Saccharomyces cerevisiae S288C: one gene and its partner. The gene in region 1 interacts genetically with each later gene. Each region holds a gene or a part of one and is shown in the gene's direction. Other genes may lie near its edges. The genes, in order: FPT1 and EGH1.

Region 1 (3,640 bases):
TTGTGTTCGTTAACCATTGACGTTGAGAAATCGGAGCTTGAGGATTGAGTGCTTGAGGCGGTAGATTGAGTGGTGGTAGCGGTGGTTGGGCTAGCAGTAGTAGTTGGACTAGCGGTAGTAGTTGGGCTAGTGGTAGTGGTTGGGCTAGTGGTAGTGGTTGTTGGAGTAGTTGTGCTGGTAGGTTGTGTTGAAGATGTTAAAGTTGTGGTTACATCATCCTGTGTGGCACTTGCGGAGGTTTGCACCGCTTGTATGGTTGCAGTTGCTGTAGAAAATGCTTCAGATGTTTCTGTAGAGGATTCTTCAAATGTTGCAGATTCAGCCACGACAGCGCTTTCTTGGATAACGGAAGTAGCTATGCTGTCCACTTGAGCATTAGCAACCACAATAGGAGCTGATGTTGTGGCAACGGGACTAGCAGAAGCCGTTTGAGTGCCCTTGGTAATGAACGTCGTTAGAGTCTGGCCATTTTCTACACGAACTATACCTTGTACCACTACAGTGGCAGCTTGGTGGACATGTTGCGTGACAGTCACAGCAACTGGGGCAGATAAAGCGACAGATGCAGATGCGGCCAGTAGTGAGACTTTAGAAAATTTCATCTTTGTAAGTTTTATTAAAGGAATGGTATTGTTTTATGATGGGCTGTTTCGAGGAACGATGATACCAAGAGCCAACAGATCCATCACAGCAATATGTAACACTCTGCGACAAGCATATATATATACAAAGATCAAAAGCATTGCCTTTGAACGACGTCTATGTTTCAAAAACATTACATATAGAGAAGTGCGTGAGATACACGAAATGTACTGTAAATAGCACACATGTTTATTCCCGCTATAGGAAAGATGATCTATGGGCAGATCTCTCATTCGTTTCATAACGGGGTCCATTTCAGTGATGCGTTTTCTTTTTTTACACCTTTTCACGAGGCCGGCTCGATTTCATTTGGCATTTCGCGAATGTCGCCGCGAAAGTCTCGCGATCGATCGAGATGATGGCGCAGTGCAGTGCAGTCTATGTGATGAACAAAGACGTTCTCGAAGCACATCGCCAGGGTGCGGAGAACCGCTAAGACCCAGATGAGAGATCTCTGCAGAATTGCCAAGAATGCGCATGGACGTGAGCACAGGATGATAGTGAAAGAGGCGAGCTGAGCTTCGTTTTGCTCGAGGCTAGAACGACCCGAAACTGCCGCTTAATGATATGCTTTCTTTTACCCAATGCAGAACTAGAATGCGTGAGCGGGACTAGGAAACGTTCATAGCTAGCCCAAAAAAAAAAAAAAAAAAAAAAGAATCCAGTAATGGTAGAATTTTGATCTACAGTATGACGAAGAAGGTCGAGCCAGTTGGTCAAGAATTATAGCTCGCTCTCGAATAGCGTTATTTTGTCATCAAGTAATCACCACTGATAACATGAAAGTGGCCATCCATTCCACTTTCTGTTTTCTTTCTATTGAGTGGTCAGTTAATGTGCTACTTCGCTGAAAACTTCCTTGTTTTAGCATGTGGCATTCTCAGTGTACATAATGATTTATAGCTCAAAGGCTTTTAATGTTTAGGTAGTTACAGACCTTTTGCCGCCGTGAATTTTTGACGTCTTGTAGTGCTGTGATATAATTGGACTATAAATCATTACCCGGCCTTTTAAGGCATGAGTGGCGTTCCAACGTGCTGTCAAAACTATGAGACCAAAAACCAAAACACACCCCTAAGAAATGTATAGGGATTTATATCAGCATAAAGGTGCCATAATTAAAGAGATTTAGCCTGAACCCATTACTATTCTGTTACAGTTAAGTACTCATACAGACAGCTAGAAAAAGAAGAAGAAATACCAAGTACAAAGAAAGGAAACCATGTCCAAGTTAGAAACCGTTTACTTATACGCTGGTGAAGAACAACCACGTGTTAAATTGACCTGTATTAAGGAAGGTCTCACTTTAACTCAGGTTATCAAGTTCGTGCATTCTATTCAAGAATTGTACGGGATTGAGTTGCAAACTTCTGAGACCATAACAGAAAATTTGAAGATAGATTGTGCACCCGCATATTTGAAGCCGAATTGTATTCCCCATTTCTACATTCTCGAATATGAAGAAATAAGTGACACCTTTTTCATTTGGAAATCTGATGGTCGTTGGCAATTAAATAAGTTGTCTGCCTTGTTGTACGTGGATAACGACGCTAACGTGGTTAAGAACACTTCCTGGAAGGAGGTTTTCCAGAATGATCAACGATTTAAAAATTATGATAAACGGGCCTGGTTACAAAATTGTCTAGAAAAAATGAATAGAGATCTCTCAAAACTAAACGTTGAACAATTTTGGTCTCAATATGATAAAATATGTCAAAGCATTGCCAAACAAAAGAAAAAACAGGAACAGTTCAACATGGAGGTTTTCGATAACTTCAAAAATATTGTTTCTATTGCTATCATAAAGACCAAAGTTTTATCGAATAAGCGACTTTTGACAACAACTTTAAAAAATTATCATAACTCGATGAAGAAAAAGTATAACATCCAGGAACAAAATCTTAAGGAAAATAGTTTGGCATCGTGCTCAAACAATGAGCCTTCCGCATCTCTGGAAAGCGAATCAAGACATTTTTCTCCGGTAAATTCGCTGTCTCCTTCATCTTTGAGTACCGATGATGAGGCTGTCTCGACAGACTACATCTATAAAGGTCCTGAGTCTAAACCAAACGTGAATTTCATGCATTCAAGTGCTACAAACGATCTGATCAAGTCAAATTTTGAAAGCTATTTTAAATTGATGGCCGAAGACTATGAAACTTTTGACTTGAGAGCCTGGTCGAGACAAAGACCTCGAAAATTTCAGCTTGTGGAAAAAAAAAAAATCACTAAAAACCCTCCTAATAGCCATCATCCGCATAAAAATGGCAAAATATCATTTTAACTATTTCCGGGAAAACATGTCTTTTTATAGCATCTACATCCATTAAATCAAGAGAATAAAAGTAAAACTCCAAAAGTATGTACGTATATAGAACCAATTATTCAATCATTTATAGAAATGTGACCTGTTTTTTCTCTACTATTGTTACATAGGCATCACGAAAAAAAGTCGCATTATACGATACTGTTATATAATTTTTTTCATATTCTTCAGATCTCAAATGCAAGATGGTCCTAATTTGTTTGTTTGTTTATTTATTAGTTTCGCTGAAGAAGGAAAACAAGTCATTTTTGGTTAGCTACCCAATTATACAAGCATTCAATAAATACGCCAATCTTTTGCCACATTTCTTATAATATCCTTTGCCCTCCTTGGTGTTTGGTTCAAATAAGTAAATGATAAAAATGTGGAGGTTACAGATTGTACTGGTGCCGCCAAGTGCTCAAGATATTATCACATTTCTCGAAGCACGCTTGAATACTCCACAATCAGTGTCTCCTATGGTCCAGTATAATGAAGATATAATTACGCACAACAACAGTATCAATAACTGTAGCGACCCCTCTCCTACGAGCCCGTCTTCGCAAAATTCTATTCAGTCGAATCGTAGTAGTGATTTCATTAACTACCTCCCGAATTGTAAAAAGTTTTTACATTTTACGGACGGTGACAATACCCTTTTACAACTATCTAATGAAATTTTAACTAAATTTG
Region 2 (4,726 bases), on another chromosome or scaffold:
CGTCAATAAAACTTGAAACTTCGTTTTTTGTCTTAGAATCCAATTCGTAAGGGATAGTGTCACCTTGTAAGACATCATTGATCAAATGCATTGCTAATGCAAATTCAGGAAACAGTAACTCACCTGCTTTTGATGTATCACAAAGCGTCCAAATTCTTGCGAGTTGAGAAGGTGGCAAACCGGATCTCATCAAAATTTTCCTACAATTAGCACCGGAAACAGTATTCGAACCATTGGTAACAATTGATCTGAATAGAGTCTCAAATTTTGCCTGATCTTGGGCAGTAATAAACGACAATCTAATGGCAGGGATTTTGATATCATTGTTTAGACCGTTGTTGGCAAATGAGTTGACAAAGCCAGTTGCGGTGGGCTTTAATGGTTCTAAGGGAGCTTGGTTTTGCGGTTGAAGGTAAAATCCTGTTTGCTGCGGCTTCAAAGGTTGCAAGGACTGTGCTTGCTGAGGAGGTGGCACCTGTTGAGGTTGAGATTGATAATAACCAGTGCCCTGGGCCTGAAGGGGCTGCTGGGTTTGATTAGAAGAGATCAAATTGGGTGTAGACACATAATATCCTGTCCCTTGAGATTGCAAAGGTTGTACTGAGTGTACATTTGCAGTATTAGCAGCTTGGTAATAGCCTGTTCCTTGGGGTTGTATGGATTGTAGCTGAGGCTGTTGAGCCGGATTAGGTGGAGGCATGGTGCCAGTAGTATTCATCATAGGCATACTGGAATTTGGTACGTATCCCGTATGCTGCGGTTTCGCCTGCTGTTGTTGCTGCTGGGGTTGTTGGCCAAAATTACCATTACCATATACACTACCATTATTTCCATTATTATTGTAACCCGTTTGGGGCTGCTGTGGCATACTTGAGAAAGAATTACCAAAACTTTGAGGCATCCCACCAATTCCGGTAGCCTGAGGCTGGTTAAACGCCATTTGCTGTTGTGGTTGAGGCTGGCCTTGGGGCTGGTTTGAAGACTGACCTTGCTGCTGCTGCGGGTAGAATCCATTTGGTTGTTGCTGCTGTTGCTGCTGTTGCTGCTGGTAACCCATGCCCTGTTGCTGGTACGGGTTATACATATTCAGTTGTACAGATTAGCAATTTCGCGTCGCTGATAGATTCTTCCTCTTCCTGCTTCTCGACGTGTGTTTCGCCAATAGATCTATATGGCTTTCTAATGCTTTTTTTCTTCCAATACCAACTTTTGCCCCTAACAAGAAAAAAATATCGTCGACGTGTCATGTGATCAAGCCAATTTATAATAACAAGCGATTGATAAACAGAGTATACATAGCTACTATGCGACTGAGAGATCAATCGGTTATCGTGAGCACCTACCTTTAAGGTTTAACAGATCTGGACGTGATTTTTTTTTTTTTTTTTTGACGAACCAGATTGTCAAATAAACATTGTTAATTGATGAATTTTTAATATCTGCCCAATTGAAGCATAAAAAGCGTCTTAGGAAAGCATTCGTTAAATATCTCTACTGTTGGTAAGCAGGTACTTCAGTAAAAAACCATATTAAACCCAAAATTATCAAATTAGTAGTACATAAGATCGAAGTAGAAAAAATATAGATTATAATCCGATATAGTGTAACGGCTATCACATCACGCTTTCACCGTGGAGACCGGGGTTCGACTCCCCGTATCGGAGTATGTTTATTTTATTTTTTTCATATCCGCTCGAATATTGCCTTCGTTTAAGGTTTCTATATCTCTGGTAAACCTTAACAATGGAATTAATATTAATTCTATATTTCGCAATAATTCTACTGACAGTTATTTTCTTAACCTTTCTTCTCTTTTTTTATTTATTTATTTCTTTTTCTTTCGTACCTAAATTGTTTGAATTTAATAAGAACAGATCATATGCCTGCCAAAATACACATTTCTGCAGACGGTCAGTTTTGCGATAAAGATGGCAACGAGATCCAATTGCGTGGTGTCAATTTGGATCCGTCAGTTAAAATCCCTGCAAAGCCATTCCTATCCACCCACGCTCCCATAGAAAATGACACGTTTTTCGAGGATGCTGATAAAGTCAGTTTCATCAATCACCCCTTAGTTCTTGATGATATCGAACAGCATATCATCAGATTGAAATCACTGGGTTACAATACCATTCGTTTACCCTTCACCTGGGAATCTCTTGAACATGCTGGTCCAGGACAGTACGATTTTGACTATATGGATTATATCGTCGAGGTACTAACCAGGATTAACAGCGTACAACAAGGTATGTACATTTATTTGGACCCTCACCAAGACGTCTGGTCTAGGTTTAGCGGTGGATCTGGAGCACCGCTATGGACCTTATACTGTGCAGGGTTTCAACCTGCAAACTTCCTGGCCACCGATGCTGCAATCTTACATAATTATTATATTGACCCCAAAACGGGCAGGGAAGTTGGCAAAGATGAAGAGTCCTACCCTAAGATGGTTTGGCCTACAAACTACTTCAAACTGGCGTGTCAAACAATGTTTACGTTATTCTTTGGTGGGAAACAATATGCTCCTAAGTGCACAATTAATGGAGAAAACATACAGGATTACTTGCAAGGAAGGTTTAATGATGCAATCATGACACTGTGCGCAAGAATTAAAGAAAAGGCTCCTGAGTTGTTTGAGAGCAACTGCATTATTGGATTAGAGTCTATGAACGAGCCAAACTGTGGTTACATTGGTGAAACAAATCTCGATGTGATTCCGAAAGAGAGAAATTTGAAATTGGGCAAAACGCCAACGGCATTTCAAAGCTTTATGCTGGGTGAAGGTATTGAGTGCACAATAGATCAATATAAAAGGACATTTTTTGGATTTTCTAAGGGAAAACCGTGCACAATCAATCCCAAAGGCAAAAAAGCTTGGCTGAGTGCAGAGGAAAGAGATGCGATAGATGCGAAGTATAATTGGGAAAGGAACCCTGAATGGAAACCAGACACTTGCATTTGGAAACTCCATGGTGTTTGGGAGATTCAGAATGGTAAACGCCCTGTTTTACTCAAACCAAATTACTTTAGCCAACCTGATGCAACGGTATTTATAAACAATCATTTTGTTGACTATTACACTGGAATTTATAACAAGTTTAGGGAATTCGATCAAGAATTGTTTATTATAATCCAACCGCCGGTAATGAAGCCACCACCCAATTTACAAAATTCTAAAATATTGGACAATAGGACGATTTGTGCATGTCATTTTTATGATGGTATGACACTAATGTATAAGACATGGAATAAACGAATTGGCATAGACACCTATGGACTAGTAAACAAAAAATACTCAAATCCTGCCTTTGCTGTAGTGCTTGGCGAAAACAATATACGGAAATGCATTAGGAAGCAATTATCAGAAATGCAAAAGGACGCTAAATCCATGCTTGGAAAAAAAGTACCTGTATTCTTCACCGAAATTGGTATTCCATTTGACATGGACGACAAGAAAGCATATATTACAAATGACTATTCTTCACAGACCGCTGCATTGGATGCTCTTGGATTTGCATTAGAAGGAAGTAATCTTTCGTACACCTTATGGTGTTATTGCAGTATTAATTCACATATATGGGGTGACAATTGGAACAATGAAGATTTTTCGATTTGGTCCCCGGATGACAAACCACTCTATCACGATACCCGAGCAAAAACTCCTACTCCTGAGCCATCTCCAGCCTCTACTGTGGCTTCGGTATCCACTTCTACATCTAAATCGGGTTCTTCACAACCACCAAGTTTCATAAAACCAGATAATCATTTAGATTTGGATAGTCCCTCGTGCACTTTAAAGAGCGACTTGTCAGGGTTCAGAGCTCTTGATGCTATAATGAGACCATTCCCCATACAAATTCACGGAAGATTTGAGTTTGCTGAGTTTAACTTATGTAATAAATCCTACCTTTTGAAATTAGTTGGTAAAACGACACCTGAACAGATAACTGTCCCTACATATATTTTTATACCACGGCACCATTTTACACCAAGCCGGTTGTCAATTCGTTCATCATCAGGTCATTATACCTATAACACTGACTACCAGGTTCTTGAATGGTTTCACGAGCCTGGCCATCAGTTCATTGAAATTTGCGCAAAATCGAAGTCAAGGCCCAACACCCCTGGAAGTGACACTTCGAATGACTTACCAGCGGAATGCGTTATCAGCTAAACAAAAATTGAACCAAAAGCTATAGTAGTCATATATATATATATACACCCTTTTTATTGTTACAAAAAGATTTCACCATCAGAAATCTAAAGAAGCCGGTTCATCATCATCTTCACGTTCTCTTTTCACTGAACCCAGTTCATTTTTCAAAAGAGAACTCACATATGCTTGGAACTGATTGATAAAAGGTTGTAAAGCTGTTAATGAAACATCATTATTTTTCTCCATTTCTGTTTGAAGATCAATTAGCTTAGGTGCTTTTTCAGGTGCAAAGGATTCATCAATAGGCACACAGACATTCCCCGTAGCAGGATGAATACAAAAAGGGGCCTTTAACAAATGAATTGTTTGCTTTGTAACTTCCACATCCAGCTTCGGATAAAGAGTCATCAATACGAGATCTTCCTTACATTCACGTAACTTAATTATGTGAGAGTCTTGCTTGGGGCCTTTGAAGAGCGATGTAGCTATCTGATCTATATCATTCCACTTCTCTTTGCTTGACCTCCTTGGATTGTCCAGCCAATACTTCTTTAATGAATCAATCAATTG

What was found.
Region 2: mutations in FPT1 (region 1) and EGH1 together harm fitness more than expected from each alone (negative genetic interaction), as found in Saccharomyces cerevisiae (one large-scale study listed by BioGRID).

The regions. Positions count from the first base shown.
Region 1 is NC_001143.9:460,921-464,560, reverse strand, and holds FPT1 (chromatin-associated RNAPIII regulator FPT1), read left to right. Parts: upstream 1-1,864; coding exon 1,865-2,926; downstream 2,927-3,640. Other genes in the region: PRY2 (sterol-binding protein), read right to left, coding at 1-602; TOF2 (Tof2p), read left to right, coding at 3,322-3,640.
Region 2 is NC_001141.2:368,825-373,550, forward strand, and holds EGH1 (hydrolase), read left to right. Parts: upstream 1-1,879; coding exon 1,880-4,174; downstream 4,175-4,726. Other genes in the region: actin cytoskeleton-regulatory complex protein PAN1, read right to left, coding at 1-1,084; DNA primase subunit PRI1, read right to left, coding at 4,253-4,726. UniProt on the Saccharomyces cerevisiae protein: Ergosteryl beta-glucosidase involved in the ergosteryl beta-glucoside (EG) catabolic pathway and vacuole formation via hydrolysis of EG to generate glucose.